Linked DNA regions of Macaca fascicularis. The main gene of each other region encodes a partner of the protein of the gene in region 6 in a complex. Links are inferred from orthologs where the notes say so. Each region holds a gene or a part of one and is shown on either strand. Other genes may lie near its edges. The genes, in order: CC2D2A, TCTN1, TMEM67, AHI1, TMEM107, MKS1 and B9D1.

Region 1 (4,082 bases), on a different chromosome or scaffold from region 6:
AACGGCCAAGTTCACCCAGTGAATGGTAGAGCAAGGGCTGGAATTAGGCAGCCGGTTACCAGACTTAGGAAAATACGATATAAAGGATTTGCAAGGATAGAAAATCTCTAGCCATATAATAAAGAGACAACAAATGGGAAGTGGTCCTGCAGCAAATGTGAGATGACAAGGGAAAAGAGAGGGCAAAAGAAGAAAAATAAGGGTAGCTAACCAGGATGCGTGAAAAAAGATCCTAACTCAGTCATTCCTAGCTAGGAAACTCACTCCTTGTTTAAGAAGGGATTCATTGAGTATAATTAGACTTACTCTTACGTAATATGCCTGATGTTTGTTCTTTATGTGTAAGATTGTGAATTATTTTAAAAAATTAAAGTGGAATGTTATAAACATAGCACCCCAAGCTATTCAAAAAGCAAAGCACTTTCAATTTCATGTAATAAAAGTGGAGAGAGGGGAGTGTCTACCTTTTTATATAGTGTTTCAAGCTCTGCCTTAATGCTCTGCTCCTGTGTTAGTACTGGCCGCCTCGAAGGAAATGGCTTGATGGGGTTTGGCAGAGCTAGGATCCTACCGTCATCTCCAAACCATCTTCTTTCCTGTAGGTGAAGCAGAGGGAATGACAACATTCTCTTCTAATTGAACAGAAAATGGTTTATAACACAAACAACGTTTCTTGAAAATTCTGTGTCAACATATATATTTCATGTACCTCCTCCCCCAACAGAACTGTAAAAGTCTGTTTCCATTAGAAATCAAGTCTTCACTAACGCCTCTCACAACTGATTTAAAATGTACACCCTGGCTCCCTAAATAGTATTTTAAAGAACTTAAATGAATGCTTAAGAAAAATTTATTTTCTATTCATTAAACATTTAAGAAAAAAAAAAAACGCAGGATAAAAACTCAAAATTGAGACTATTCTACCTATGGATAATTTAAAAATTCTGTCAAGTACGAAAAGGTTGCCAGCATCTGGTTTAGCAGGAAAAACACAGATTCAGCTAGCAAAGATGGATTTTGAGCAGTTGAGAAGTTGTGTTATTTGAGGATCAATAAATGTACTGAGAGAGAAAGTTAAAACAAAAATTGAACCACTTTCTGTGGATAACCTCAAGAGGAAATGAGTACAGTGGATGCAATGACTGCCCTGTTAGGAAAATAAAAGCTATGTCTAGTGCACCCAGGCCACACTTGGGAGCAGAACGTGCACACTTACGGGATCCTGCATCAGCAATCTGTTCTCCATGATGTTCTGATTGGTGCGTGCCACCTCTGGTCTTACCCCAGTGTAAAGGCCTTCATCTTCCAGGAACCTGGGCTGTACATTCTCAGGAAGCTTTTTATATGTAGGGACTAGATAGTTTATAAATAAATAAAACATTAGGACCAATCTAAATATCTCAAACTGCATTTTGGTGAATTAATCACTAGAGATTTCATTTATGTTTTTAGAAAATGCAAATTTTCCAAATTAATTTTTAAAAGCAGAACCAAGGGAAAGATGAATGTGCTCACTTATAGGAGTATGTTGTAGAATCAGGTATTTAAAGAAAATACCTAAATAATTTAATATGTAACTCATCAGTGTGGCATACTGAGAAGAAGGTAGTATTCAAATCATAGGACAAGGGACAAGTTTTAGCTTTATTACTTTTCAGCTGGGTGAATTGGGGCCAGGCACTTCTTTGAACTCTCTCCTCCTGTACAAAAGAGATAATAATCTACTTAACTGGGCTTCTGGGAGAATTAAATGAGGTAAAGTATGAGGACGTGCTTTGTAAATGAACAGGTTTATATGAGTGAACGTGATCATTACCTCATTTATTCATTCACTACTTTATTCATTCATAGAACACATCTTTACTGACAGCCTCCTTGTGCCGGGCACAGATGAGACTCTGGGAATCCAGGCCAGTCCCCTGCTGCCTTGGAGCTTGGATTGTAGTGGGAGTGACAGGCAGCAACAGGAAGCAAAGGTCTCTACAAGATCACGCCATAGAGTAGTAGGAAAATACACGGGGAATGGTGACTTAGGGAAGGGTGGGGATAAACTTAAGATGAAAGAAAGGCTGTTCTCATAAACTCTCAGCCCCTGTAACTGATCACTGATTTGATAAAAGGCTTCCCACAGTACTTTGGTGTATCTTCCATTAGTCTATCAATAAGTGTTTGTTGAATGGATATTTTTCCATGTTCTGTGTTTTTTTTTGTTGTTGTTGTTTGTTTGTTTGAAGATATTTCTGGATTGTTAAATCAGATTAGAAACTGGAATCAGATCTGGAGATGAGGCATCCTTATGCACTAGCCATATTTCATTACAAAATAAGTGACGATTTCTAAACTGAACAAGAAAATAAAAAGAGCAAGTACCTGTCTGCCTACTGGGTATGAAGAGCATTTCTGTTTCCATCTGCAGCCGATCATGAATGCTTTCATAATCTGCAGGTCTGACTGCTACAAAATCATCAGCCATGTGATCTAAGCCCAATAGGAAGTCCTCGGCATCATCACCATTAAGCAGTTCTTCCTCATCCTGCATAATGTTAAAAAGTAACAAGAAAAAATCATGCTAAGATTTTTAGTTAGAAAAATAATTAACAATACCAAACTCATGAAACTTAACATTTCCTACAACTTTTATCTTTTCCTTTTATAAAAAATGAAAGCATAGAACTATATAATCTTTCATATTTAACAAGTGGGTTTAAAAAAAAATTGTTTTGCACTATTCTGCACACCTGGAAGATGTCAAAATCAGAGATGGCTGTTTCAGAAGAGAAGTGGTAAGCAAAACAATCAAAATCCCAACAGATATGGCCTCCTTTGAGGGTGCTTACTTTTGGCCATTTATGTAAAGAATTGGGCTCATAATTTATGTAGCAGTTTAACCTTCCACCTGGCACTAAACCAAGGGAAAAGGCACCAAGTGTATAGGTGCACAGTCTACACACCCTGTTCAGACTGCCTAGGTTTAAATCCCAGCTTCACCATATACTGTCTGAGGAATTTGAAACTGCTTATTTAACCATCTGATCCTCAGTTTCCTCACTTATAAGATGGTTATAGTAATAGAGTTTACCTCTAAGCACTTTGTGGGGATAAAATTAAATGATGCACTTAAAAATTCAAAGCAAAGAGGCTATAATCACAAATGTTAGCTGACATATATTGATTTTGTTTGGATATTTTCCAAACATCTTCTCCCCCTTCCTCTTTTTCTTTCTCCTTCTTTTAAAAATTTAAACCTGGTATCCATTTATGAGCAACATCTTTTAAAATCCTGTGGAGACTTTCAGGTAGCTGAAGACAACGATGGCAGTCTAGCTACTTGCCTCTTAATATTTCCTCCCCATGTACACGCAACAGTAGGGAAAGAAAAAGGGAATCTATGTAGAAACCATGCTTTTAACTTAGCTTGAAGACAGAGAATGTCGAAACATCGAACAAGTGAAAAGAGGAAGATCACCAGATGGCAGTGTGTAATCTTCCTTCTCCTGCCCCACCTCTGCTTTGTGGTGAGCAAAATCACCCAGAGAAAAACTGCAGAGAAGACAGAAAAGGGAAGCTAGCAAAAGGGGCTACAGAGGATCTAAAACTTTGTTCAAAAAGACTAAATCAACCTTGAAGATGAAAATACTTTAAAAGTGTCCGGGCAGAGCAGAGCATGGACTATAGGGAAGGGGCTTCAAAATGTGTGTGATTTAAAATGTGTGTGATTTTAGGAAAACAGAGCTTCTGGGGCAGTGAATAGGCAAAAGGAAGGGAGAAGTGGCCTTTGGTGGAAAGTGTCATAATCTCAGAAGATGTTCACAACTGGAGACTTCTATCAACAGGTGAAGCCCAATTCTCCTCCATTTGAGAGTGCACTATGCCTCGTGACTTGCTTCTCCTGAGTAGAATATGGCAGAAGTGACAGTGTGTGGCTCCTGAGACTAGGTCATAAAAGGAAGTGTGGCTTATTTTTTGGGTTCTCTCCTAGATCACTTGCTTTTGGGAAGTTAGCTGTCATGTCAGGAGGACACTCAAGCAACACTGAATGAGCTGAATGCTGATTTGCAGAACGATTGTTATAGTATAAGCTA
Region 2 (4,530 bases), on a different chromosome or scaffold from region 6:
CAACTCCTGGACTCAAGCGATCCTCCCAAAGGGCTAGGAGTACAGGTGTGAGCCACTGCGCCTGGCCATGTCTAAGTAGTTTGACATCTACTTCTGAATTGTACAGAGATTAAGTGTCAAAGGTGCAGCCAACATCCCTGGGCTTGGGTACCTCCTAAATAAGCCCATTCAGAATGGACAGGCTTTCCTAAATCTTAGGGTCTCCAGGTCATTTTGTAGCATTACAGTGGATTTGCTTTGTTTTCCCCTTTAAGATGTCTAAATTATTTTACTTAATTTTTGTGAAAGATTTTTGTCTTTAAAAAAGTTCTTAGGCCTGGCGTGGTGGCTCATGCCTGTAATCCCAGCTCTTTGGGAGGCTGAGGTGGGAGGATCACTTGAGGTCAGGAGTTTGTGACTAGCCTGATCAGCATAGTGAGACCCCTCGCTACAAAAAATAATGATAATAAAAGTTATTAAGTGTTCATTTGTCCCCTTTATCACAATACAGCAGACAGAAGTTATGTGGCAACCTTGTGAGATGCAGCTAAAACAAAAAAGGTGAAGCCAGTGTTGACAGAGTCTGGGATAGAGAGAATTCAGGGACAGTGATCTCACAGATCCCTATGCTCCTTTGAAACACCCACATTAGTGGTGTTGAGACGGCGCTTCCCAAATTTCCATCCAACTCATCTGCTTGTGTCGGGACATTTGTTAAAAATATTTATTCCTGGCTGGGAGTGGTGGCTCATGCCTGTAATCCCAACTACTCAGGACTCAAGAGGCTGAAGCAGGTGGATCACTTGAACCCAGGAGTTTGAGACCAGTCTGGGCGACGCCTGGGAGGGAGACCCGGGCGACGGAGGGAAACCTCGTCTCTACAAAAAAATACAAAAATTAGCTGGGTATGGTGGCGCGCGCATGAGTTCCCAGCTACTCAGGAGGTTGAAGTGGGAGGATTGCTTGAGCCCCAGAGGTCGAGGCTGCAATGAGCCGAGATCGAACCACTGCACTCCAGCCTGGGCGACATGTCGAGTGAGACCCTGTCTCAAAAAAATCCCCCAAAAACTGATTCCTGGGTCCTGTCCTAGCCTTACTGACTCAGGATCTCCTGAGGTGGTACCTGGAAATCCGTCTTTTTTTTTTTTTTTTTTTTTTTTTTTTGGTTGAGACAGAGTCTCGCACTGTCGCCCAGGCTGGAGTGCAGTGGCACGCTCACGGCTCACTGTAGCCTCCACCTCCTGGGTTCAAGCGATTCTCCTGCCTCAGTCTCCCGAGTAGCTGGAACTACAGAAAATCCACATTTTTTAAGTAAGCGCCGCAGACCGGTTGGGAACCACAGCTGGGATTTACACGCCTCTCGTTTATGCCAGCTTCACAGCCGCTCACTAGTGCTCGCCCTAGTGCTTGCCATCGCTGCCTCACCCAGGCTCCGCCCTCTGGCCTCATCCAGGATCCGCCCCCTGCCTCATCCAGGCTTCGCCCCCGTCAGTCTCCGGCAGCTTCTCGCGGCTTAGCAAGCCGCTTCCCGTGATGCCTCGCGCCTGGGTGTAGCGGTTGCCGGGCAACGCGCGGTCCCTGGCGCGGGCGTAGCTGGGACCCGCTGGAAGATGAGGCCGCGAGGCCTCCCGCCGCTCTTGGTGGTACTCCTGAGCTGCTGGGCCTCCGTGAGCGCCCAGACCGAGGCCACCCCGGCGGTGACGACAGAGGGCCTCAACTCCACCGAGGCAGCCCTGGCGACTTTCGGACCTTTCCCGTCGACCAGGCCCCCTGGTACTCCTAGAGCACCAGGGTCCTCCTCCGGCCCCAGGCCTACCCCAGTCACGGACGGTGGGTACTATGTGCCAGCTCCTGTGGTCCACAGGGATCCAACCTCAAGGGGGCAGCCCGGTTGAGGACGTAATAATGATAGCTAACGCTTATTGAGCACTTACTGTGTGCAGACACTAAGTGTTCCATAAACGTCCGTTCTTTAAACAATAACCCTGAGAGGTAGCTCTTACTATCACTGTCATGTAAATGAGAAAACCGGGTCTCAGAGAGTTTAAGTGGTACGGTATCAGACCTTTGAAAATACTTGAAGTGATCCCAGACAACAGTAATGCAAAGAGCAATAATGAATGAATCCTTGCAGCCCAAGACGAAATTAAGTCGAGACAATGGTGGAAATTGGTGCCTAGGCTGCATGGAACTTTCACTTAAAGAGAGGCCAAAGGTCTATCTTACTAAATGTGACTAGGTTAAGACGCTTGTCTGTTGACCTGAATTCTAAAAACCCAGGATTCCTCCTGTGTTGAATTGGAGGTGGGAAGCCATGGAGGGAGGGGTTATGCTCACTTCTTAGGAGTCATATTTAGGGATAATTAACATTTTTTTTTTCAGAAAATGATTGTCTAATTCTAGAATTACACATTTAGTGGAAATATTTTATAATCTAATTTGACGTTTGGCTGGCGCCGTGGCTCACGCCTGTAATCCCAGCACTTTGGGAGGCCAAGTCGGGTGGATTGCTTGAGGTAGGAGTTCAAGATCTGCCTGGTCAACATGGCGAAACCCAGTCTCTACTAAAAATAGAAAAATTAGCCGGGCATGGTGGTGCATGCCTGTAATCCCAGTTACTCGGGAGGCTGAGGCAGGAGAATAGCTTGAACCCAGGAGGCAGAGGTTGCCGTAATTACTACTGCACTCCAGACTGGGCGACAGAGCAAGACTGTCTCAAAAAAAAAAAAAAAAAAAAAAAATTGACGTGGATGACTTCAGAGAATGACTGTGACCCTCTAAGATTGAGTGCAAAACTTTGTGAATATGCCTTTTCCTGAGATGAGAGTTCATAGCAGCCGATTCTTAAAGTGGTTCATGATCTCAAAGTTTTTAAAATTTTCCAGTTGTGTGGATTGAGAGTAACCCCAATAGGTATGCAGTACTTTAAATCTTTTTTTCAGTCTTTTTTTTTTTTTTTTTTTTTTTTTTTGAGGCGAGGTCTCACTCTGTTACCTAGGCTGGAGTGCAGTGGCATGATTATATCTCACTTAAGTCTCAATCTACTGGGCTCAAGGGATCCTTTTGCCTCAGCCTTCAGAGTAGCTGGATCCACAGGTGTGCTCCCCCAGCTTGCTTTTTAATTTTTTTAATTTTTAGTAGAGATGAGATCTCGCTAAGTTGTTCAGGCTGATCTCAAACTCCTGGGCTCAAGTGATCCACCTTGGCCTTCCAAAGTGCTGGGATTACAGGTGTAAACAACTGTGCCTGGACTATCCCTTCTTAAGAAGATCTTTTCTCAGATTGATTAAGACTCAGTATTAGTAGGTAAAAAAGTCATCAGCTGGTATCTTGAACTCTAGAACTTAACTTCAGTTACTGAACCTTGATTTCTCCAAAAAGCTCTTTCTGAATTATGAGTAATCTGAAAGAAAAACTACAGAGAAATATATTTGCTATTTTAATATATAAACAGAGCTCTGTTTTATATTTAAATTGTTGATTTGATGAATTAGTAGGGAAGTTAAATCAGTGACAAACTGGGACAGAATGAAGCCAAGTATTCAATGTCTGAAACTCTAAGTAGTTTTTGGACTGGATTGTCTTTTATTCATGTAAGTACTCCATCTGTTAATGCATTTTCTCTCCAAAATAAAGCTATGCTTGAAACATCATTATTATAGCATGTGTTCAAGGCTGTTTTTCCATTATCGGGGATGAATTTGTACTTGTCCCCACATTTTATTTTTTTTTTGGATACAGGGTCTCACTCTGTCACTCAGGCTGGAGTGTAGTAGCATGATCACAGCTCACTGCAGCCTCGACCTCCTAGGCTCAGGTGATCTTCCCACCTCAGACTCCTGGGTAGCTGGAACTACAGGTGCATGCCACCACGCCTGGCTAATTTTTTGTAGAGATGGGGTTTTGCCATGTTGCTCAGGCTGGTCTCGAACTCCTGGCCTCAAGTGATTGCCCACCTAGGCCTCCCATAGTGCCTCCATACAGGCATGAGCCACCGCACTCTGCCTGTCGCCTGTCTTCACTTTTTTAAAGGACCTCTCTTAAGACTTGTGACAGTAATAACTCATTTGTTAACTGTTCACTTAGCACTGTGCTAAGCATTTCACCTATGATGTATCTCATTTAATCCTTACAACCTCATGAGGGTACTGTTATCCCCATTTTTCAGGTGGGTAAATTATTTGCCTAATTTTAGAACACACAACTTATAGATATTAGAGCAGGAGGCTGACTCTGAGTGGAGAACTGGATGGAACATTGCAGGTGGCTTGCAGGCAGTGTTGGTGGAGAAGAGTGATAACCCTTCATCTTGAATCTGGGCTCTGTTCATTAGTACCCTGCTCTACAAGCCAGGTGTGCAGATGCTATAGGAGGCAAGAGCAGCTGAGTGCTTCTTGGACCTGATGGGGCTCAACAGCTACTTGTTGGATGATTAAGTGCACTTGCATCCTGGGTAGAAACCTTTTTCCTAAGTGGAGTTATTAAACACTATTGCTTCGTCCTTAGTAGTCTTATAGCTACCTACAAGGGCTTTAAGTTTTGAAAACAAAG
Region 3 (2,942 bases), on a different chromosome or scaffold from region 6:
ATATTTAGTTGATAATAACACCATTTCAAGAACAGATTTGCCATTTCTTGAGATCTCTATTTCAGGGTCCACACTCATACACAAAGTTGCTTTTCATCTACACTGGTAGACGAGGTGTCAAAGCTGCAGGCTAAAGGGGGCTTCCCTTTGGTGCTGAGCCCTGAGCTAGCTCTCCAGTGCCTGTTTTTTTGTTACTTAACATCTGGTGGAGAGGGTGGATGGGACTCTAATTACTGTTCACTTGTAGCATCTAGGAGACTAGTAGTTAAATGTCTTCCTATAGGATTCCTCTTCCATGTATAATCAAGCAACTGATGCCCTCCACTAGACCTCAGTATTTCATTGACCCTAAAGGACAGAGTACAGTTGTTTGAAATGTTATTCCTCCTTTTGGTGGGGTTAGTCATATTCTAAACCTTTACAAAATTGTAGTAAAAGTAGACATTGTTACTCTCTGCTATGAAAATATCTACTTCTAACATATTTCTCTCAAGAAAATGAAGGGAAATGTAGAAAAATTTTTAAAATTTACCTCTTGTTGTAGATATGTAAGGAAGGATGCTAAAATAAAATTTTGGCAAGCCAAATCCACAACACAGAAGAACAGCAGATCAAAAATAAGAAGGGTAGCTTCATTTCCATAATACAGGACACTGCTGAAAGAATAACCTTCATCTATTAAAAAAGTTTAGAAAATATAAATTAGAAATTTAAAAAAGGAACAAGTCTGTGATAAATTTCTGGTGACAAAATCTGGATATTTAAAAATAGCACATTAGAAACATACTATATACAATAATTCATGGCTTACACAAAAATAAACAAAATAATTAAATTAAAAATAAACAAAAATTTTAAGATTTGCTCATCTAAAAGAGGTTAGTTAAAAAACTCATAACACCTCCTATAAAGCAGTTTTAACATTAGGACCAATGGTTGGTAACTGCTAGTAGTGTAAGTTTCAAAGACCAGTTAATAAATAGCCTTTCTCTATTTCTTTATGTAACTAAAAGCTAAATTAATCTTACAAACATTCCCTAAGATAGAGTATATTAGAGAAAAAACCCAGCAAGGCACAGAATAGTACACAGTGTTCAAGAGTTCAATAATTTATTTCAAATAGTCCCCTTAAGGTTTTGCTCTAAGTTCTCTTCTCACTCCACCAGCGGGTTTCATCCTTATTGGGATGTGAACACCCTTTTAAAAAGATTATGATGAGGCCGGGCACAGTGTCTCATGCCTGTAATTCCAGCACTCTGGGAGGCTGAGGCAGGAGGACTGCTTGAGGCCAGGAGTTCAAGACCAGCCTAGGCAACATAGTGAGACTCCATCTCTACCAAAAAAAAAGAAAAAGGATCTGGTGGTGCACACCTGTAGTCTTAGCTATTTGGGAGACTGAGATGGGAGGAGTGCATGAACCCAGGAGTCTGAGGTTATAGCGAGCTATTAATATGATTGCACCACTGCACTCTAGCCTGGGCAACAGAGCAAAAACCTGTCTCTAAACAAACAAACAAACAAACAAAAAACTACAAAAGCCTGATGAAAGCTAAAGACCCTTCCACCAGGAAAAAAAAAAACAAAAAAAAACCATACATATACAAGTCTTGCCAACAATTTCAGGGAAATCCAGAAAACCACTGAAGCAGCCCGGGGATACCCAGTTAGGAACATCTGCTTTATACAAGGGGGCATCTGGAGTGCTGGTAATGTTCTCTCTTGAAAGGGTACTAGTTACAGGGGTATATTCAGTTTGTGAAAATTCACTGACCTATAAGTTATATCCTTACAAAATATGCACATTATACTTGCATATATAATCTTAAAAATAAACCTGTTTTACATACTGTCTCTTGGTGATTTTCTACTAACACTGCTCCAGCAATGACTTCATATGATAGCAACTCCTCAATTTATTGTGTGCTTCTACTTTCTCCTACGACCTGGTCCCTTATATTTAATGCCTACTGGATACCTCTTCCTAGATGTCCTAAAGTACCTCAAGATGCAACATACTGAAAACTAAATTCATCCTCTTTCCCTCAAAACCTGGTCCTCCTTCTGTATTGCCTCTGTTATTGAAAGGCACCACCACCCACTTAGTCACACAGCCAGAAGTCTGGATAATTTTTGACTAGTCTTTTCCCTTAACATTTCTGGCAATCCTTTCTTCTCTAGCCCCACTGCTACTGCCTTAGCTCATAGTCTCATCAGCTCTTGATGAAGACGAAGATAGTGAGGCCAGGAGCGGTGGCTCACACCTGCAATCCCACTTTGGGAGGCTGAGGTGGGCAGGTCACTTGAGGTCAGGAGTTCGAGGCCAGCCTGGCCAATATGGTGAAACTCCATCTTTACCAAAAACACAAAAATTAGCCAGGTGTGGTGGCAGGCACCTGTAATTCCAGCTACTCGAGTAGCTGAGGCAGGAGAATTGCTTGAACCTGGGAGGCGGAGGTTGCAGTGAGCCAAGATTGCGCCACTGCACTCCAGCCTGGACAACAGAGCGAAACTCCATCTCCAAAAAAAAAAAAAAAAAGAAGAAGATAGAGAGATGGAAGAATACAGTTAGAAAGAGGAGGAAGAGGAAGGAAGACTGAAGGAGAAAGGAAGAAAAAAAGCAGGAAGAAAGAAGGTGACTATTGTATTATTAAAAATAATAGGGCCAGGCACGGTGGCTCATGCCTGTAATCCCAGCACTTTGGGAGGCCGAGGCGGGCAGATCACCTGAGGTCACGAGTTCAAGACCAGCCTGGCCAACATGGTGAAAACCCGCCTCTACTAAAAATACAAAATTAGCCAGGTGTGGTGGCACACGCCTGTAATCCCAGCTACTTGGGAGGCTGAGGCAGGAGAATCACTTGAACCTGGGAGGCGGAGGTTGCAGTGAGCCAAGATCACACCACTGCGCTCCAGCCTGGGCAACAAGAGTGAAACTCCATCTC
Region 4 (4,674 bases), on a different chromosome or scaffold from region 6:
TGCATAGCTCCTAGAAGGAGCTCAATATATGTTATCCATTATTCATTCAACAAATGTTCATGAAATGCCAACTATTTCATAGATACTGTGGTAGATACTGGGGATAGAAAAAATACAATGTAAACTATGAAAATATAGAATGAGTATGTAAAGTCTAATATACGGAATGAATATCCAAAATCTAATAAGGAGTAGGAGTATTTGAAGGAGTCAGTCAACCTGCTTAAGATTCGAAGGATGGACAACATTTGACTGTGATATGCAGTAGTGTAAAAGGAGGAATTTTCAGGAAGAGAGAACAATATGTGTAAGGACAGGGCGTGCAAGGCTATGGATTGTTTTTCATAGTACACATAATTCAATGTTGCACAAAACTGCATGATACACATGATTCAATATTGCATAAAATTGGAACAATAAGCTAACGAGAGATGAAATTAGTCAGGGAGATGGAGCATCTTGTATCCTAGGCAAAGCAATCATTTTCTCTTACACGTTGCCTTTCAAGAATTTTCAGCAAGAGAGAGCCATTATCCGATTTACATTTTTAGTCAGGACATTCTGATAGCAGTGTGGGGAATTTTAAGAGTCAAAACTGGAGTCACAGGACTGGTAAAGCGCCCACCTGAGGAATTTAAAAAGAGAGAATGAATATGCTTTGGTATAAGATGCATTTAGGATACTCTACAGTTCTTACTAAAACACTGGGAGCAAGTGTTTGACACTTGATAGTGCAAGATTACAGCAAGATAGTGGTGGCTTACAGCAAGATAGAAATCTAGGAGAGTAGGTTTAGAATGCAAAGTTGAACAGCTCAGTTTGGTACACAGCGGATTAGTAATCTTTCTCGTTGCTTCCTCAAAGGATTTAGGGAAGCACATGGCATAGAGATATAGTTTGTAAGGTGTGGCAATGCCAGTGAGAATGGAAAAGCTGGCCTCCGTAAACTCTCTCTCTGTACAAACGAAGCAACAGGTTACAGCGCGTGGCTGTAGGTACAGGAAATGGCGTGTATTCATGAGTCCACGAGTAGCGCAACTAGTATTTTTCCAGCCCTGGTGACTCAGAGCTGAAGATGGCGCCTGCGGCAGAAATCAGAAAAGTGGGAGGGAGCATTAGGTACAGAAAAGTATGGCGTTTTAACTTTTGTTTTCCACACACAGGGAGATAGCTCTAAAGGAATCGTGCATAATTTTTTCTTAAGATTTTGTCTGTAGTACAACTTCATTTTCCACGCTTTAAAATCATGTTTTCTTTTGTGGGCGCGACCGCGTGGGGAGTGACAAATCTGTTTCTTTGCCTCATTCATTGATTTTCTTATTTTGGGCGACTTCCATAACAGCCTCCCCAGTTTTCCTTTGCCCCGTCAGTTTTTCCCTGCGCTTGCTACAATTCTAAGGCGGAAAGAGTATTTTTGGAGGTGAGGGCGGGGAAGACTCAAGCTCTGTGGGAGCACCCGCGCATTTCCGACTCCCTTCCCGCTCGCACGGCCTCGGAGGCTGGAGGCCGGTAAGGTCCCCGAAGCGCGCGCCCACCAACAGCCTGAGGGCCCCGGTGCAGGCGCCGCGCGGCCCCTTCTCCCGGGCTGAGGCGAAGGCGGTGGCGGCGCGGGGACGGGGGCGGGGGCGGGGCCGCGGTCCGGGCCTAGCGCGCGAGACGCGTCGGTCGCCATGGGAACGGCGGTGTAGGCAGGCGCTGACGTCAGCAGGCCGCGAGTCGTCCGCACTGCGGCACAGAGCAGTGGCTTGCTCTCCGAACCCGGGTCGCTGGCGGGTAAGGTGGCTTCGTGGCCGCCTCACTTAGCGCCCGCGCCGCTGGGCGCGGGGGAGTCGATTTGCACTGTTCCGGGTGTCGGCTTGGGCGGGACGGACGGTTCTGCCTACTCCTCCTCTCCGTAAGTACCTCGTGGGTTCGCTGGTGGCGGGAGCGCGGGCCGGGGTGCTGGGCCTGCCCGGCCCTCTCCGGGGCGGCGTGTCGGGGCTGCTGGAGTCCGAGAGCGCGGGGGCTGATCGCGGATTGACCGGGGAGCGTGGGCCGGGTGTCCCGGAGGAATGCGATTTCCCGGAGTCCTCAACGTACTTTTCCGCTTCTTTCACTGGTCTCGGTGTCTCCGGAGAGTTGAGCATGGTGTTCTGATAGGGAATTCAATCTTTGCCTTTCCTACTCCCGATTCTTGTTTAAATGCTTTTAAATCAGATGCGTACTGAGTGTGTTTATTTCCTTTTAGAGTGTCATCCTGGGGCTGAATCTTCAACCTGTCAAAGCCTACTTAATTACGTCTGAGAAAAGGTGATCAATTTGTTAAACTTATAAGAGCCAGATTATATTAATAGGGTTGTTTCGAGATGCATAAAAATAGAATAAAAATGTAGACCATTTAAGCATCCTTATCAAAGGTTGTGCTGCGTTTGGCATTCCTGTGAAAACATCTAATGTGAAAATAAAGTTTTTCCCTTTTGAGAAAGAGATGCCAACAGTTTTTTCACCTGTTGCATTAGCAGTTACTGTTATTGCTTGGGTTAGGAGGAAGATTGCTTCTTATGAGTACTCTGGGAAATTTTTTAAAGAATGCTTGAAAAAATTAAAATACCAAAAGTGTTATTAAACCATACTTAGAATCTTGTTTATGAAGAATAATATTTATGAAGTTAGAATCTTGTGTACTTATGAAGAATCTTGTTGATCTATTCATTGAATTTTGTGTACAGGATTTTTGTTTGTCTTTTTTTCCCTTGCGATAACATTTGGTTAAAGAGGGAATTATCAAGCCTCTCAATTTTTTCTCCCATTGATATTGAGTCACATATTGGCTGATAATCAGGTGGTCTGTAAAATAAAATGAGATGAGGTGTAATCCATTTAATTTTCCTACATAGTATCTCTTAGAAGCTCCTGTGAAAGGGTTTGTGAGGGAGAAGTTGTAAAATAATGGAATATATAAGATTCGGAGGTGTCTTTTAAAGTCCGACCTGAATTTTCGCAGATAATGTTACTAATTAAATATTAGTCATTAATTCTATCATATGTTTGCTGTAGTACACATTAAGATTTAGAGATGGCTGGGCACAGTGGATCAGGCCTGTAATCCTAGCACTTTGGGAGGATCAAGAGTGGGTGGATCACTTGAGGTCAGGAGTTCAGTATCCGCCTGGCTAATGTTGGTGAAAACCCATCTCTACTAAAAATACAACAATTAGCCGGGCGTGGTGGCGCACACCTGTAGTCCCAGCTGCTAGGGAGGTTGAGGCAGGGGAATTGCTTGAACCCAGGAGGCGGAGGCAGCAGTGAGCTGAGATTGTGCCACTGCACTCCAACCTGGGCAACAGAGCAAGACTTTGTCTCCAAAAAAAAAAAAAATTAGAGATTATTTCTATAATGTATTTGCTGTGTTATTAAATAATATTAGTATTTATTCAGTTGTGTATTAAGCTATTAACAGTAAATAATTCTATGATTTCTGTATTTTATTAATAATTACTTATTTTTAATACAATAATACTGGACATAAAGTAATTTTATTGCAGTGTACTCATTACTTTGCTTTTTGGTATTTTCTCCTTGCAGTACTAAAACAGGTGCCATTTTAAATTCCCAGACAAGGAAAAACCAAGGATTAGAAATTAAGTAGCTTACCCAATGCCACACATCAGTAAGTGGTGACACTGGAGGTCAAACCTGAGTCTTTTTTACTCTAGGACCGTTGCTACTGCTTCGCTTTGCTTTGCTTCTCGTGTTTTCTCTTCTCTCTCCTCTTTTCTTTCATAGTGCCAGATACATAACTATAGAGAGCATTGGCGTGGCCTCCAAAGCTAGCAGTTTGGTGGGAGACAGAACATTTAACCAGGATGAAAATTCAGGGCTGAGGTAGAGGGAGTTACAAAGATTCAGGCATCCTGGGAGCACAGAAGAGAAGTGCTTCACTGCCCTTCAAGGTGCGAATGCTCTCTAGAGAAGATACTTGCCTTCAAAGGATAATGAGGAGTTTGTTAGAGTGACAAAGGAGGAAGGACATTTTTCAGGAGAGGGGATATATGTGTAATGATACAAAAGCAAGAGAGGACGTGGCACATGTGAAGGCCTGGAGGTAGTTTCACATGGCTGGAACACAGCGTATGGTGTGAAGGGGACATTTCATAAATGGCCTTGGACCTCAATGGTAAGGACTTGATATTTTTTTCAGTGTGTGATTGGGAGCTAGGGAAGAATTTTAAGCAAAGAAATGACACCGTCACATTTGAATTTTAGAAAATTACACTGATTGCTGTATAGATGATGATTTATTTTTTAAAAGGGTAAGGTGATAGTGGCATGGAAACAATCTTAAAACAAACAGCATAATCCTTCCACAGTGTTTTTGTCCCAGAGTTACTGTCTCATGTCACTGCCTTTAGGGGTGGTGGAAAGACAGTTGGAAGAATTCTGTAAAGAATTGTCTACATGTCCCTTCTACAGGGGTCACCTTCCATTCACCCCTCAGCCCCAGCCTGCTAGGTTTCTGCCCCTCCATAAACAGCTTTGACACACGTGACTTCCTTCTTGCAGATTCAGTGGACTTTCTTCAAAACCTCCAGCCCCTTTTGATGCCACACAGTATATAGGCTACATCTCCTTTAAAACTCTTTCCTTCTGTAATGCTTCTGTCTCCCAGTTTTTTACCTGTCTCCCTGATTTTAC
Region 5 (4,738 bases), about 40 Mb from region 6:
TACATTAACTAAACTTACAATCAACATAACAGAAACGTAAGTGATCGTCAGGAAGAATCAGATAGGAGCAATCAGGGTGTTGCAAGTCCTGATTACGCAGAGACGTTAATCACGTTTCATGCATTCTCCAATCATCATGTTCTCATCTGCCCTCCAAAAGAGGAACAGGTAAGGATTATCCCACCTGACGATATTTCTAAAGAGCCGACATTCCGCACTCAGTCAAAAAGATTCCGTTTACAGCTAGGGTGAGTTCACGACGCGTTGGTATGAGTAACCCTACTACTTAGCATCCTTCCAGTTGTATTGCCATATTTGCTTGCACATTTTTAAAAGAATTTTTTCATTCGGCTGCCGAAAAGGAATACATTTCTTTTTCCCAGAATGCTCCGATCATTTACGTGCTGGACGTTCTAACTGTAAGCACTTTCTATTTACATATCTCCGCCCACTCCCTTCCGCCAGACAACTACCGTAATAACCAAAATAGAAGCGATACCAAGTATCTTACGGTCTGCAGAACTAGAAAATAACGTTGCTTCTTTTTTTTTCTTCAGTAGTTTCGCCATCTCAATTGTGCCTTGAAAACTGTATATGTCTTAATCTTACTACAAAACATATTTTATTACAAACCACTAAATACAATGCGGATAATCCCAGACTCAAGACGTAATTATTCCAACACATATCCTCCAGCAGAAGCAGTTTCCGAGGGGAGGACCGAAGCCTATGCCTTCCTTCTTCCAGGAATACGAAGCGGCCCTTGCCCCTGTAGCCTTCGTCCTTAGGTTCCCGTCATGAAGGTGCTCAGAAAGGTTTCTTTTTCAGCCCAAAGACGGTGACGAATAAAGTCATTTCAGTGACAGCTGGAAGGGCACTACCGAGGCAAGTGGTAAATTCAGAAACCCTTTCAATATAAATACCCAAATCTCCAAACCAGAGACCCCACCCCTGAAAGTGTAGGACAGGTGGCATGGGGTAGGGAATGAAAATTCAAAAGACTACAGGATGTTAAGTGGATCTGGTATCTCACACATAGAGGAAAGGGCTGGGTGGGGGAAAAACCCTCAGGTTTAGGGTCAGCCTTCCTCCCTCATTCCCGAATATTGGATGCTACCACACCTGCAGAAGACAAAAATGTACCAATACGTAGTGCACTCCCAACGCTCGAATATGAAGAAGGACAGGGCCACGGATGCACTACAGTGAGCCCCAATGGCTTGGGAAGGCACCAGAGTTAAGGAAAGTCTTTGGATCGACAGATAGTGAGGGGTCAGAAAAGGCCAAAGGCCAGTGGTGGGGTTGGCATCTGCATTCAGGTTCATCGTTTGCTCCCTCACCATATTGCAAGGGCTAGAGTCAGCATCCCCGACTTCTGAATTTTAGGACAGTCATGTGAGGAGAGACCAGAAGTGACTGCGCAGATGGGATCTCAGGCTACCCTACTCCATATCTAGGGGCCAGCCTGGATCCTTCAGATGAGAGGTAAGAGTAGGCTCTCCTGCTATGCCACACAGGAGTGCTGACAGCGACTTGATATGCGCTGGAATCAGCCTCCAGTGTCCTGGTCCTCCTGGTCCACAATTCTCTGACCCATGTGCCTGGCTTCCGTTGCCTCTTCTGAGTTCCCAATGTGCTTTATATCTTTCGTTTTTTGCCAGAGTCTTGCTCTGTCGCCCAGGCTGGAGTGCAGTGGCACGATCTCAGCTCACTGCAACCTCTGCCTCCTGGGTTCAAGCAATTCTCCTTCCTCAGCCTCCTGAGTAGCTGGGATTACAGGAGTGCACCGCCACGCCCGACTAATTTCTGTATTTTTAGTACAGACAGGGTTTCACTATGTTGGTCAGGCTGGTCTTGAACTCCTGACCTCAGGTGATCCACCTGCCTCGGTCTCCCAAAGTGCTGGCATTACAGGCATGAGCCATCGCACCCTGCCTGTGCTATCTTTACACACTCCCATAGCACACTGCTTATCACACTGAATTACAGATGTGTATCTACCTCCTCCTCATGGTTAAAAAAAAAAAAAGTGGAGTTTTTATTATTACTATTTATTTTGTAGACACGGGGTCTAACTATGTTGCCTCCTGCGCGGGCCTCCCACAGTGCTGGGATTACAGACGTGAGCCAACGTGCCTGGCCAAAAACTGTATTTTACTCTCATTTCGGAATTTTAAGTGCCTAGTAAACAGCAGGATTTAGCACATGGTTGAAGATCTTTGAACTGGAGAGACTGGCTACAGCAGACACTATTGTGTCAGGTGGCTGAAGGGAGTCCTGATAGAAATGGGTCGTGTGGGAAAGGTGGGCAGGCAGAAAGGATACAGATGAGGCTCTGGGTGCTGTTGAACATGGAGACTCCTGAGAGGAAACCGGCCAGCTCCACTGCAAAGAGGCCCAGGGTGACAGAAAGCGCGGCCACCAGCCTGCAGAGAGGAAGTGGACTGGCTCAGGCCTTTGGACTTCTTCTAAGACCCCTCCACTCCCACCACCTCTTCGTTCTGGCCACCCCGTCCTAAGAGCTCACTGAATGTCCTGCTTGTCATACTCCTCGGGGGTGAACCTGAGAGGCAGGCAGGCCTGAATGTTGCTGTCCTGGGAGCAGGGCAGAGAGGAAGAGAAGTGAAAAAGGGGCAGGCTGCTGGGCAGGCCTAGGGACGGCGGAACACGAGAAAACCCAAGTGGGTAAGACACTGGGAGAGGGGCAGGGTGGGGCGGGGACGACTCCGAGATGGGAATGGGGGCGGACGGAGGGCAGCCGTGGGTCTTACCCGGGACCAGAATAAGGTGATGACGACCACCAGATGCGCCAGGATCGTCAGGAAGCGAGAGGGCACAAGCCCTGAGACCCGGCCCATGGCCCTTGGGAACAAGAGCGGCGGTCTCTGAGGCTGGAAGTTCAGAGACTGCGACTCCCGCAAGTCCACCAGCAAGCGGACAAATCTAGACGAACTCCTCCTTTCCGCCAGCTCAGGCACCGCCCAGTTGCCTTGGTAACCGCGTACGCGGGCGTGCTGCCGCGTTCTCGGAAAACCTCGCGAGAGCAGTACATTCTCCATCTGCTGTGGGTCTTTCAGGGCTAACTCAGGTCAGGGGTACCCGAAGGAGCTTCTAACCCAATGGCTGGGTACCCGTGCGCAGCCAGGCCCTTTGTTTCTCAGAGGGTGAGGGGTGGCACAGCCGCGCAGCGCCCGATCTGCCCACGCAGGGCCGACGAACGGAAACCCACCCTGGCCTAGCCTGGGGACACCTCTGCTTCCGCGGTTGCCCACGCCGGGAGCGGCCCCCAGCCCCAGCTACGCTGCCCAGTTGTGGATCACTTGAGATCACTCCCACCGCCACGCCGGGCTGAGGTCCCCGCCATGCCGAAGACTCACACCCGCTCCCCTTCCTCCTCTCCTCATGCCTTTAACTTCCCACCAAGCTGGGCCTGAGAAACAAGGGACCCGAACGTGGAGAGGCCGGTGTTCCTGGACTGCTCGGCAGTTACAGATTGTCACAGAGCCCCTGGTTGTCTGAGGACCCTAGGCCTGAACCTTCCTTGAGGAAGACTGATTTCTCTCAGACTACTTTGCTCAGTTTGGTGAAGGATTTGCAGAGTGCAAAAAGTGGTCCGCGTCCTTAAACTAGCGTGGGAATAAGAGCAAAGCAAGGTGGCTGGAAAGGTGGGAGTGGACGAAGGGAATGGTACAGTCCCTGCGTCTCTGGGAGGCTTGGAGCCTACGGGAAGGGAAACTCAACTTAGATTTCTTTATCTCTTGGAGGTGCTGGACCTCCGACATTGCCCAGCTACAGTCCAGGAAGCTCTTATCACCGGCGACGTCATGACCTTTGGGCCTCAGCGCAGGTCCCTGCAGATCTGAAAGTTCTTCTCTAATTGCTCAGTCAAGTCCCATCCTCAAGGAAACTCCCGGCCCATTTCCCAGGAGAACAATATCTTCCTACTTCCCACTCGACGTCTCAGTGCCTTTAGCCAGACTAAAGTACAAGCCCAAGAGGCATTTCTCATTCCTTCAACAAATATTTTTATATATTTATTTATTACCTAGTAATAGTATTCTAGTCAGGGAGATCAACAACAGACATGCAAACAAATAAATCCGTAAGATAATAGGTGCTACAAACAGGGATACGCGGGCCAGGCACAGTGGCTCACGCCTGTAATCCCAGCGCTTTGGGAGGCCCAGGAGGGCGGATCATCTGAGGTCAGGAGTTCGAGACAAGCCTGACCAACATGCTGAAACCCCATCTCCACTAAAAATACAAAATTAGCCGGATGTGGTGGCGCGTGCCTGTAATCCCAGCTACTCGATTACTACTACTCGATTAGCTACTAAGGCAGTGGAATCGCTTGAACCCGGGAGGTGGAGGTTGCAGTGAGCCGTGCCATTGCACTCCAGCCTCTGCAACAAGAGCACAACTCCGTCTCAAAAAAAAAAAAAAAAAAAAAAAAGGAAACGCTAGAATTATAATTCTATAAAAGTAGGGCATTTATAATTCTATAAAAATAGGGCATTTATTCTTAAACTTTATTTTAGAAACTTTGGCCAGAAATTGACCGGGAGTGGTGGTTCGCGCATATAATCCCCGCACTTTGGGAGACCGAGGCAGGGAGATCACCTGAGGGCAGGAGTTTCAGACCAGCCTGGCCAACATGGTGAAACCCCATCTCTACTGAAAAAAAAAAAAAAGCCGGGTATGGTGGCGCGCGCCTGTAATCCCAGCTATTCAGGAGGCT
Region 6 (4,082 bases):
CTGGTGCCCTCACTGCTTTATCCTTTTGTTTCTCTTTCCTGGTCATCAATACAGCCATTTTTATCATCATTTACTTCAAGTGAGGTGTATGGCCCCTGATCGCTTTTCCCTGGGCTGGGAGCTATCCCCAGGCCCATCTCTCATTATTAGGTCGCTCCTTTCTGTGGCTTTGACCTTACAGGATCGAGACGGAGGGAGAGAAGCAGGAGCTGTGGAAATATACGATCGACAATGTTTCCCCCCTCGCACAGCCAGAGGAGGAGGAGCGGGAACGGCGTGTGTTCAAGGATGTGAGTGCGAGTTCATTCCAAGTATCGAAGGGACGAGCCTCAGTGCCTGGAGCTGAGACCGTTTCTGGACTTGATGTCAGCAGTTGCTTGGGAAAAGCCTTGCCCTTCATAGCCCCTTCTGACTTAGGCGGCATTGCTGACATATCAGAAGTTTTTGATCATATTATAATAATAACAATAACCATTTATTTGAGCATTTACCATGTTCTGTGCTAGGTACTTTACATACCTTATTTCCTTTAGTCCTTACAACAACCCTTTGAGGTGAACACTTTTCTTATTACTACCTTATAAGTGGGGAAACCGAGATTGAGGAGCTAAGTAGTCTGCCCAAGGTTACATAGCTTGTAAGCGCGAGAGTCAGGATTCTGCCCCAGACCAGCTGACTCCAGGGCCTCTGCTTCACAGTAAAATGGCGGTGGGTCAGGTGCTTGTGCCTCCAGCTCTTGATGATCCTTCCCACTATTGCTTTTCTTCTTCTTCCTGTTCAGAACTGAACTTTGGTCTAGCTTGGGTTACATCTTGAGTTTTGGTTTGGTTTGTTTCCTCAGCTTTATGGCCGGCACAAGGAGTATCTCAGCAGCCTCGTAGGCACTGACTTTGAGATGGTGAGTAGCTTGGCTTCCTGCAGCACTGTGAGCTGTGTTTAGCCGGAGCATTCTGACTGTGGATGGGTTACAGCACTTCTCTTAAAGGCCTCCAAGGTATACTCTACGGTGTGAAAAGGAAGTCAAAGAATAGCACATATAGTCCTTGTTATGTGTTTTGCAACATTGCATGTTGATAGAGAACTGTTAATGCCGAGAAAAAGGCCTGAAAGGCTACGCATATGCTGTGGGTGGCTTTTTTGGGGAGGGTGGGATTAGATGTGGTAGATGGGTAGTGGGTAGTGAGAGGGATATATCAGGGATTTTTGCTTTTTATTCCCTAAACTCAGGTAGTTTTGAATTTTTATCAGTGGTAATGTATTTATGTATTACTTTATAATTAATTTAGAAAATAAATATAAGGATGAAAAATGTCTTCTTCACCTTTCATGTGGATATTTTTTCAAAATACCCCATAGAGAGGCAGGGGTGCCATTTCTGTTTGTCACATATTTTGGCTCTTAAAAAATATAGGCCCGACGTGGTGGCTCATGACTATAATCCCAGCACTTTGTGAGACCAAGGTGGGAGGATCACTTGAGGCCAGGAGTTTGAGACCAGCCTGGGCAACATAGTGAGACCACATCCCTACAAAAATTTAAAAAAAAAAAAAATTAGCAAGGCATGGTGATACATGCCTGTAGTCCCAGCTATGCATGATGCTGAGGCAGCAGGATTGCTTGAGCCCAGAAGTTTGAGTTTGCACTGAGCTATGATCACACCACTGCATTCCAGCCTGGACAACAGATCAAGACCCTGTCTGAAAAAAAAAAGAAAGTGGTTTAGTTCAGCTATTCTGTCGTGCTGTTCTTTGTCTTTTCTCGTTCTAAGTGTTCCATCGCTAGACCTGGAAACAAGGATAGAATTACTGGTCTCCCTCTCTTTCTCTGAAAAATTAACATTCACTGTTTCCATATTGCATAAGCAACAGATATTCAGTATTTAAAAGTTAGATAAGACAGATGCACAAATAATTAAAAAAGAAAACTCCCTGGTTTCTTGACCTCAGCTGTGTAAAGGGAACCGGGCATTCTGGCTTCCTATTGCACACCACAGGGCAGTTGCTGTTGCTTGGCTAATTTCCCATAGTGCATTGTCCTTACTGCCATTTAAATTATGTACTTTCCCCTTACATTATGTATCTTAGGAATGAAGGAAACAGATCTGTGGAGAAGTGTCAGGGTGGGGAGAAAGTGCAGTAGTGACACCCAGGATCTGACCCCCAGTGTCAGGATATCTGCAGATTTGTAGATGAGGCTGGAGGAGAAGTGCCAGTTCCCTTCAGGCCTGCTGATCCTTTCCCACTTCTCTTCACCTTAGACTGTCCCAGGTGCCCTCCGGCTCTTTGTAAATGGAGAGGTAGGTAAGTGTCTTGCTAGCATAGATCTCTTGATGCTAAGGCACGTGCCTAGATGTAGCCGTGAATAGTCTCCTCCACCCTGGTAGAGGTCTTGTCTGCTGTACTTGGGAAACTCAGTGGTGAGTCTTTCCTGGAAATGCAGAGGGTTCCTGGCCCTCAAAAGACTTGCTCTCAGGGTGTGTTGGACCCTCAGGACTGGGTTGGGTGCTAAGGGTGGTAGGATAAAAAGCTAAAATAGCTTCCTGTTTTCTCTCTTAGTTTCAGCCCAAGGCTATGAGTATGACAATCTCTACGTCCACTTCTTTGTGGAATTGCCAACTACTCGTAAGTAATATTCTTAAGTCTCTCTTTTATACCCATTCAGACAGATGTAGAGGCATTTGGTCAGGCTTCCTTTCCCACTCCTCTGCTGAAACTGTTACTGTTCTTTTCAAGGTTGTAGATCACATCCACTTTGCCAAACCCAGTGGGAACTTTCCTGCTTTCACCTCGCTTGACCTTCCTAGAGCATTTGCCAGAGCCCACTGTGCTGCATGACACACTTCTCTGGCTTCTGGCTCCACATTCTCTCTCCTGTCTCACTGGTGGCCCCTCACCTTCCTTGGGTAATGCCTTCTCTTCTGCTGATCTTACACCGTGAGGGTACCCATGGCTAAGCCAAGGCCTTCTGTTACTCTCTGTCTGCAGTCTTCCTGGGTGACCTCATCCATCCCATGGCTTAAATACCATCGATGTGTCTCAGACTCCCAGGTTTCTGCCTCCAGCCTTAGCCTGGACGCCAGACTCGTATCCAGTTACCTCTTTGTCATTTCTGTCTAACATGATCAAAGAGAACTCTGGATTCCTCCTCTTCCCTCAAACCTCTCCTCCCTGGTATTCCCCATCCTAACAGAATGGCAGTATCTGAGTTGCTGATGCCAAAAACCTAGGGGACATCCTTGATCCCTCACTTTCCCTAGCTCCCTATAGCCAGCCAACCTGTCAACAGTTCCTGTGCGTTCTGTCTTCGAAAGCTGTTGTGAACCTGTCTGTTCTCTCCAGCACCCTACACCAAGCCACCACCGTCTCTTGTCTAGGCCAATGCATTCAACTTCTGACTTATCCCCCTGCTTCCTGCCTTGCTCCCATTTGCAGTTCATTTGCCACAGACACCAAAGCCAAGTTGAGTTTTAAAAAATGTAAACAAGTTATGTCCCTTTTGAGCTGAAAACCCCCAAGAGCTTCGCCTCCCACTTAGAATAAAATGTAAACTCAATACCCTGAATGAGCCTCTGCCTATCTCTTCCGTACAACATTTCAGTCGTTCTTCCCAGCCAGGTTCATTCCCCCCTTAGAACCTTGTAAGGGCCATTTCCTTTGTCTGAAACCCTTTCTGCCATATCTTAGCATGGCTGGTTCTTTCTGAGTTTAGGTCTCAACCTGTGTCACTTCTGAAAGGCCTTCTCTTACCACCCGGCCTAAATGAGCCTCCCAGTCACTCAGTCCCTTCCCGTTTTGTTTGAATAGAGCACTCATCACTACCCAATAGTCTCTTGTTGGTTTGTTTTTTGTCTCCCTGCTTCCCCCAGAATGTCAGCTCCATGAGAGATGGGGATCTTTTCTATCTAGTTACCAAGATACCCCTAAGATATACTAGCACATAGCAGGCACTCAGTAAATGATAAATGAATGATAGATTGTGTGAATAAATGAATAAAGAAACTTTGTCTTTTTCTGAACGACTTGCTTTCCTCCCAGGTGAGCTTACTATATTTGTTCTTTGGCTTTCAGACTGGTCAAGCCCAG
Region 7 (3,161 bases), about 29 Mb from region 6:
TTGAGGGGCCGCCATTCAGCCTGCTGCAACCCCTCCAGTCTAGTCTTCACACAGCAAGAAAAACGGTGTTCCTAAAACACAATTGGGGTTGCACCCCTCGCCTGCTAGAACCCGCCCAGGCTGTGCCTCTGTCAGGATGAACTTCAACCAGAATGCTGCCAGGCTGGTAGTCGGGCCCTGCCCACGCCATGGCCTCTGCCCACTTGCTTCCCATCCGCCTCAGTTCCTCCAGCCTGAGGGGTCCTTCCCTGCCTCAGGTCCTTGCCTGGAATGCCCTCCCAGAACAGTCTGTCTTGTCTCTCCCACCCCAGCCAGCTAAGCAGACCACCCAGGTGGACCCCAGGAAAGAAATTCAGTGGGAACGGGAGCTCCATGTGAGCGCCGGGCTGGGATCTGCTGGGCACAGTGGGGACGCTTCCAGGCCCCTGTCCTCACACACAGCCTCCTGTGAGGTGGGTGCTGTGACAGCCTCACTCTCCCGAAGGAGAAACTGGCGCAGGGGTTGTGGCTGCCCATCCCTTCCCCCTGGGGAGCGCCCGCTGGCTTTCACTCCCTGGCTTCCTCCTTGGGGTTGGGGGCTGGTGGGCAGTGCTCCCTGGCTGTGGTCTCCACAGGCCAACTCTGCAGCAGCCGGGAGCCCCTTCCTGCCCTGGGCCCCTCTGCAGCAGCCCCAGGTGAGCGCTGGTGCCCACCTCAGAGACAGGAGGGCGGTGTGTGGGCTGTTGCGTCGCCACGGTTGCCAGTGACCCTCGGGGGCTGGGTGTGTCCTTGCGGGGGGCCCTGGGAGCTGTGGTGCAGGGGAGGCGGGGCCGCGAGTCCCGGCGGGGCGAAGCCCGCGGCTGCCGGACCCACCCGGCCGGGAATAGTGCTCCTGGTTGTTTCCGGCTCGCGTGGGTGTGTCGGCGGCGGGGCCTGACACCCCCGGCCTCCTGGCCTCCCGCCCGGCCCGACTGGGGTCTGGGGCTAGGGAGGGCACATGCTCAGCCTGGTGGCTGTGGGCCACCCCTGGCAGGGCCTGCGGTGGGTGCCAAGATGGGAAGTGACATGTCCTGGACCCCACACTAGTGGGAGGCAAGGCTGAGGAGGCCAGTTCGGGCCCTTCTGCCCACCCCACAGACTCTCTGGGGTAGGGTCCCCCCTTCCAGGAAGGCTGGAGGGTCACACTGTCCCCGCCCCTCCCCCACCTCAGCTGCTGTCACTTTTCTGGGATTTCTGGGGGTTCAGGCAGCACCCCCACCCCAGAATCTCCCTGAGCTCTCATTCCCAGTGAACCAAACCCATGGAAGCCAGAGACGGAAAAGCCTAACCGGCCAGCGGAGGCAGCGTGGCCCACAGAGCGCCTGAGGCCTGGCTAGGCTGTGTGACCCCGGCAAGGGACAGCACCACGCTGGAGCCCGGCCACCAGGAAGGCTCTGCTTAGGGCCTGACTCCTGGTGGGGGTGGGGTGCAGCTGGAGCAGGAGTACTGGTTTCTGAACAGAGAGCCTACATCCAGCATTGTCCAAGGCCAAGAATGCCCGGGTGGGGCCCTGCTCACCTGTGTTCTTCTGTGTTCCCAGCTGGTTCATGGGGCGGCGACCCGAGTACACAGACCCCAAGGTGGTGGCTCAGGGTGAAGGCCGGGAAGGTAAAGCTCCCTCCCCTCCTCTACCCTCAGCCCCCAGACAGGTTAGAACCTGGGAGTAGATGGGCCCAGGGTTGGGGTGAATGCTGGGGACCTGCCAGGCACATGGGAGCTAGCCCACAGATGTTCCCAGATGAGGGCCTGGTTGGAGCACAGAGGGTTTGTCATGTCTGCCTGTCCTGGCAGCCCCTTTACCTCCCAGTGAGGGACATGGGTCAGGCGCTGTTGTCCCCATTTTACAGATGAGAACACTGAGGCTGAGAGATTCCCAGATCAACCTGGGTCTGTCTCTGCCCCATCCCAGCCTGACTGATGCTGTCCTTCTGTCCCCAGTGACCCGTGTCCGTTCTCAGGGCTTTGTCACCCTCCTCTTCAACGTGGTGACCAAGGACATGAGGAAGCTGGGCTACGACACTGGGCCTTTGGACACACAGGGTGTGTCGCGGCCCAGCCCACCCCAGGGCTTCCCCCAGTGAAGGCTCCCCAGGCTGCAGAGTTTCTGATAATGAAGGGCTGCCTTCCCGGAGTCAGGCGGCTGGCCATCAGCCTGAAGGGCAGCCTGGTGGTGGGAGCTGGGGGCACACAGAATAGTTTTATATAATAAAGTCTCATTTTCAGAGAGCCTAGGCCTGGGGCTGCCTTCTCTCCTGTTTAGCCCCTCCCCCACAGGAGCTGGGAGCTCTTGGGCCTTTCCTGGCCCCACCTCCAGGGCCCTCCCTGTCCCTACCCCTTGTGCCATGGAAGCTGCCAGAAGACCAGACCGTGCAGCAGGATGGCATCTGGGATGGGAGCTTTGACATCACCAGGTTCTGCCACTCACAGCTGTGGCCTTTTCTATACCTCAACACATTGTTCCTTGAACTGGGCATGGCACCCTCCTTGGAGGCTTGGGGGTTAAGTAGAATCACCCACTCAGCCATGCTCCTGGCCACCAGCCTCCCTTGGCAAGGAGAGAACCCTGTTATCGGGAGCTGGATGGTGAGGTACCTGGGGGACAGCAGACCCTCAGGCTGCCCACTCCCCTCTCTGCTCCTCCCTACCCACAGTCCAAGGATGGGGGCTCGAAATCTCCCAGAGGTGGGAGGCTGCTGGCTGGGGTCGCAGGAGAGGAAGGTGAGCCCCCTGGCTCAACACCCTGACCTCTAAGGTTGTCCGGGCCCTTCTGGAAGCAGAACCCCTTTAGCATTACTTTGGGGGCCCTGGCCCTGGGCCTCCCTACCTTCCCAAGAATCCCTGGCACCTCACGAGGCAGCCCTGGGCCCTCTCTGTCCTGCCACTGAGCTTTAGGCAGACATGGTGCCCCAGCCTGGATACTGCCCTCAGCGGGATCCAAAAGAAACCACAGGCTCCTGGCACACCCCCACCTCCCAGCCTCGCCCATGTTGCCCTGGACTGTCATGGGCACTTGCCCTGAGACCATCTGGGCTGACCCTCTTCTGCTCTTTGTCTCACAAACACTCCCGTGCCCTCCCCAGAACTCACTGTGCGTTCTGGAACTCATGGTCTGTTGGCAGCAAAATTCCTGTGATTCCCACCAT

Evidence for each region.
Region 1: MKS1 (region 6) and CC2D2A share a complex: the UniProt entries of both Homo sapiens proteins name them as parts of the tectonic-like complex. The link is inferred for Macaca fascicularis from reciprocal best matches to the Homo sapiens genes MKS1 and CC2D2A.
Region 2: MKS1 (region 6) and TCTN1 share a complex: the UniProt entries of both Homo sapiens proteins name them as parts of the tectonic-like complex. The link is inferred for Macaca fascicularis from reciprocal best matches to the Homo sapiens genes MKS1 and TCTN1.
Region 3: MKS1 (region 6) and TMEM67 share a complex: the UniProt entries of both Homo sapiens proteins name them as parts of the tectonic-like complex. The link is inferred for Macaca fascicularis from reciprocal best matches to the Homo sapiens genes MKS1 and TMEM67.
Region 4: MKS1 (region 6) and AHI1 share a complex: the UniProt entries of both Homo sapiens proteins name them as parts of the tectonic-like complex. The link is inferred for Macaca fascicularis from reciprocal best matches to the Homo sapiens genes MKS1 and AHI1.
Region 5: MKS1 (region 6) and TMEM107 share a complex: the UniProt entries of both Homo sapiens proteins name them as parts of the tectonic-like complex. The link is inferred for Macaca fascicularis from reciprocal best matches to the Homo sapiens genes MKS1 and TMEM107.
Region 7: MKS1 (region 6) and B9D1 share a complex: the UniProt entries of both Homo sapiens proteins name them as parts of the tectonic-like complex. The link is inferred for Macaca fascicularis from reciprocal best matches to the Homo sapiens genes MKS1 and B9D1.

The regions. Positions count from the first base shown.
Region 1 is NC_088379.1:14,671,163-14,675,244, reverse strand, and holds part of CC2D2A (coiled-coil and C2 domain-containing protein 2A), read right to left. Parts: intron 2,534-4,082; coding exon 2,371-2,533; intron 1,354-2,370; coding exon 1,217-1,353; intron 597-1,216; coding exon 465-596; intron 1-464. UniProt on the Homo sapiens protein: Component of the tectonic-like complex, a complex localized at the transition zone of primary cilia and acting as a barrier that prevents diffusion of transmembrane proteins between the cilia and plasma membranes.
Region 2 is NC_088385.1:117,497,664-117,502,193, forward strand, and holds the start of TCTN1 (tectonic-1), read left to right. Parts: upstream 1-1,562; 5' UTR 1,563-1,589; coding exon 1,590-1,809; intron 1,810-4,530. UniProt on the Homo sapiens protein: Component of the tectonic-like complex, a complex localized at the transition zone of primary cilia and acting as a barrier that prevents diffusion of transmembrane proteins between the cilia and plasma membranes.
Region 3 is NC_088382.1:103,464,097-103,467,038, reverse strand, and holds part of TMEM67 (meckelin), read right to left. Parts: intron 676-2,942; coding exon 533-675; intron 1-532. UniProt on the Homo sapiens protein: Required for ciliary structure and function. Part of the tectonic-like complex which is required for tissue-specific ciliogenesis and may regulate ciliary membrane composition.
Region 4 is NC_088378.1:39,537,043-39,541,716, reverse strand, and holds the start of AHI1 (jouberin), read left to right. Parts: upstream 1-1,711; 5' UTR 1,712-1,894; intron 1,895-2,227; 5' UTR 2,228-2,289; intron 2,290-3,765; 5' UTR 3,766-4,156; intron 4,157-4,674. UniProt on the Homo sapiens protein: Involved in vesicle trafficking and required for ciliogenesis, formation of primary non-motile cilium, and recruitment of RAB8A to the basal body of primary cilium.
Region 5 is NC_088390.1:8,261,234-8,265,971, forward strand, and holds TMEM107 (transmembrane protein 107), read right to left. Parts: upstream 2,984-4,738; 5' UTR 2,859-2,983; coding exon 2,772-2,858; intron 2,596-2,771; coding exon 2,528-2,595; intron 2,445-2,527; coding exon 2,326-2,444; intron 1,486-2,325; exon of another isoform or gene 1,387-1,485; intron 1,220-1,386; coding exon 1,123-1,219; intron 878-1,122; coding exon 808-877; 3' UTR 606-807; downstream 1-605. UniProt on the Homo sapiens protein: Plays a role in cilia formation and embryonic patterning. Requires for normal Sonic hedgehog (Shh) signaling in the neural tube and acts in combination with GLI2 and GLI3 to pattern ventral and intermediate neuronal cell types.
Region 6 is NC_088390.1:48,500,137-48,504,218, forward strand, and holds part of MKS1 (tectonic-like complex member MKS1), read left to right. Parts: intron 1-181; coding exon 182-290; intron 291-841; coding exon 842-898; intron 899-2,257; coding exon 2,258-2,300; intron 2,301-2,555; coding exon 2,556-2,621; intron 2,622-4,067; coding exon 4,068-4,082. UniProt on the Homo sapiens protein: Component of the tectonic-like complex, a complex localized at the transition zone of primary cilia and acting as a barrier that prevents diffusion of transmembrane proteins between the cilia and plasma membranes.
Region 7 is NC_088390.1:19,085,020-19,088,180, reverse strand, and holds the end of B9D1 (B9 domain-containing protein 1), read left to right. Parts: intron 1-1,558; coding exon 1,559-1,626; intron 1,627-1,956; coding exon 1,957-2,099; 3' UTR 2,100-2,240; downstream 2,241-3,161. UniProt on the Homo sapiens protein: Component of the tectonic-like complex, a complex localized at the transition zone of primary cilia and acting as a barrier that prevents diffusion of transmembrane proteins between the cilia and plasma membranes.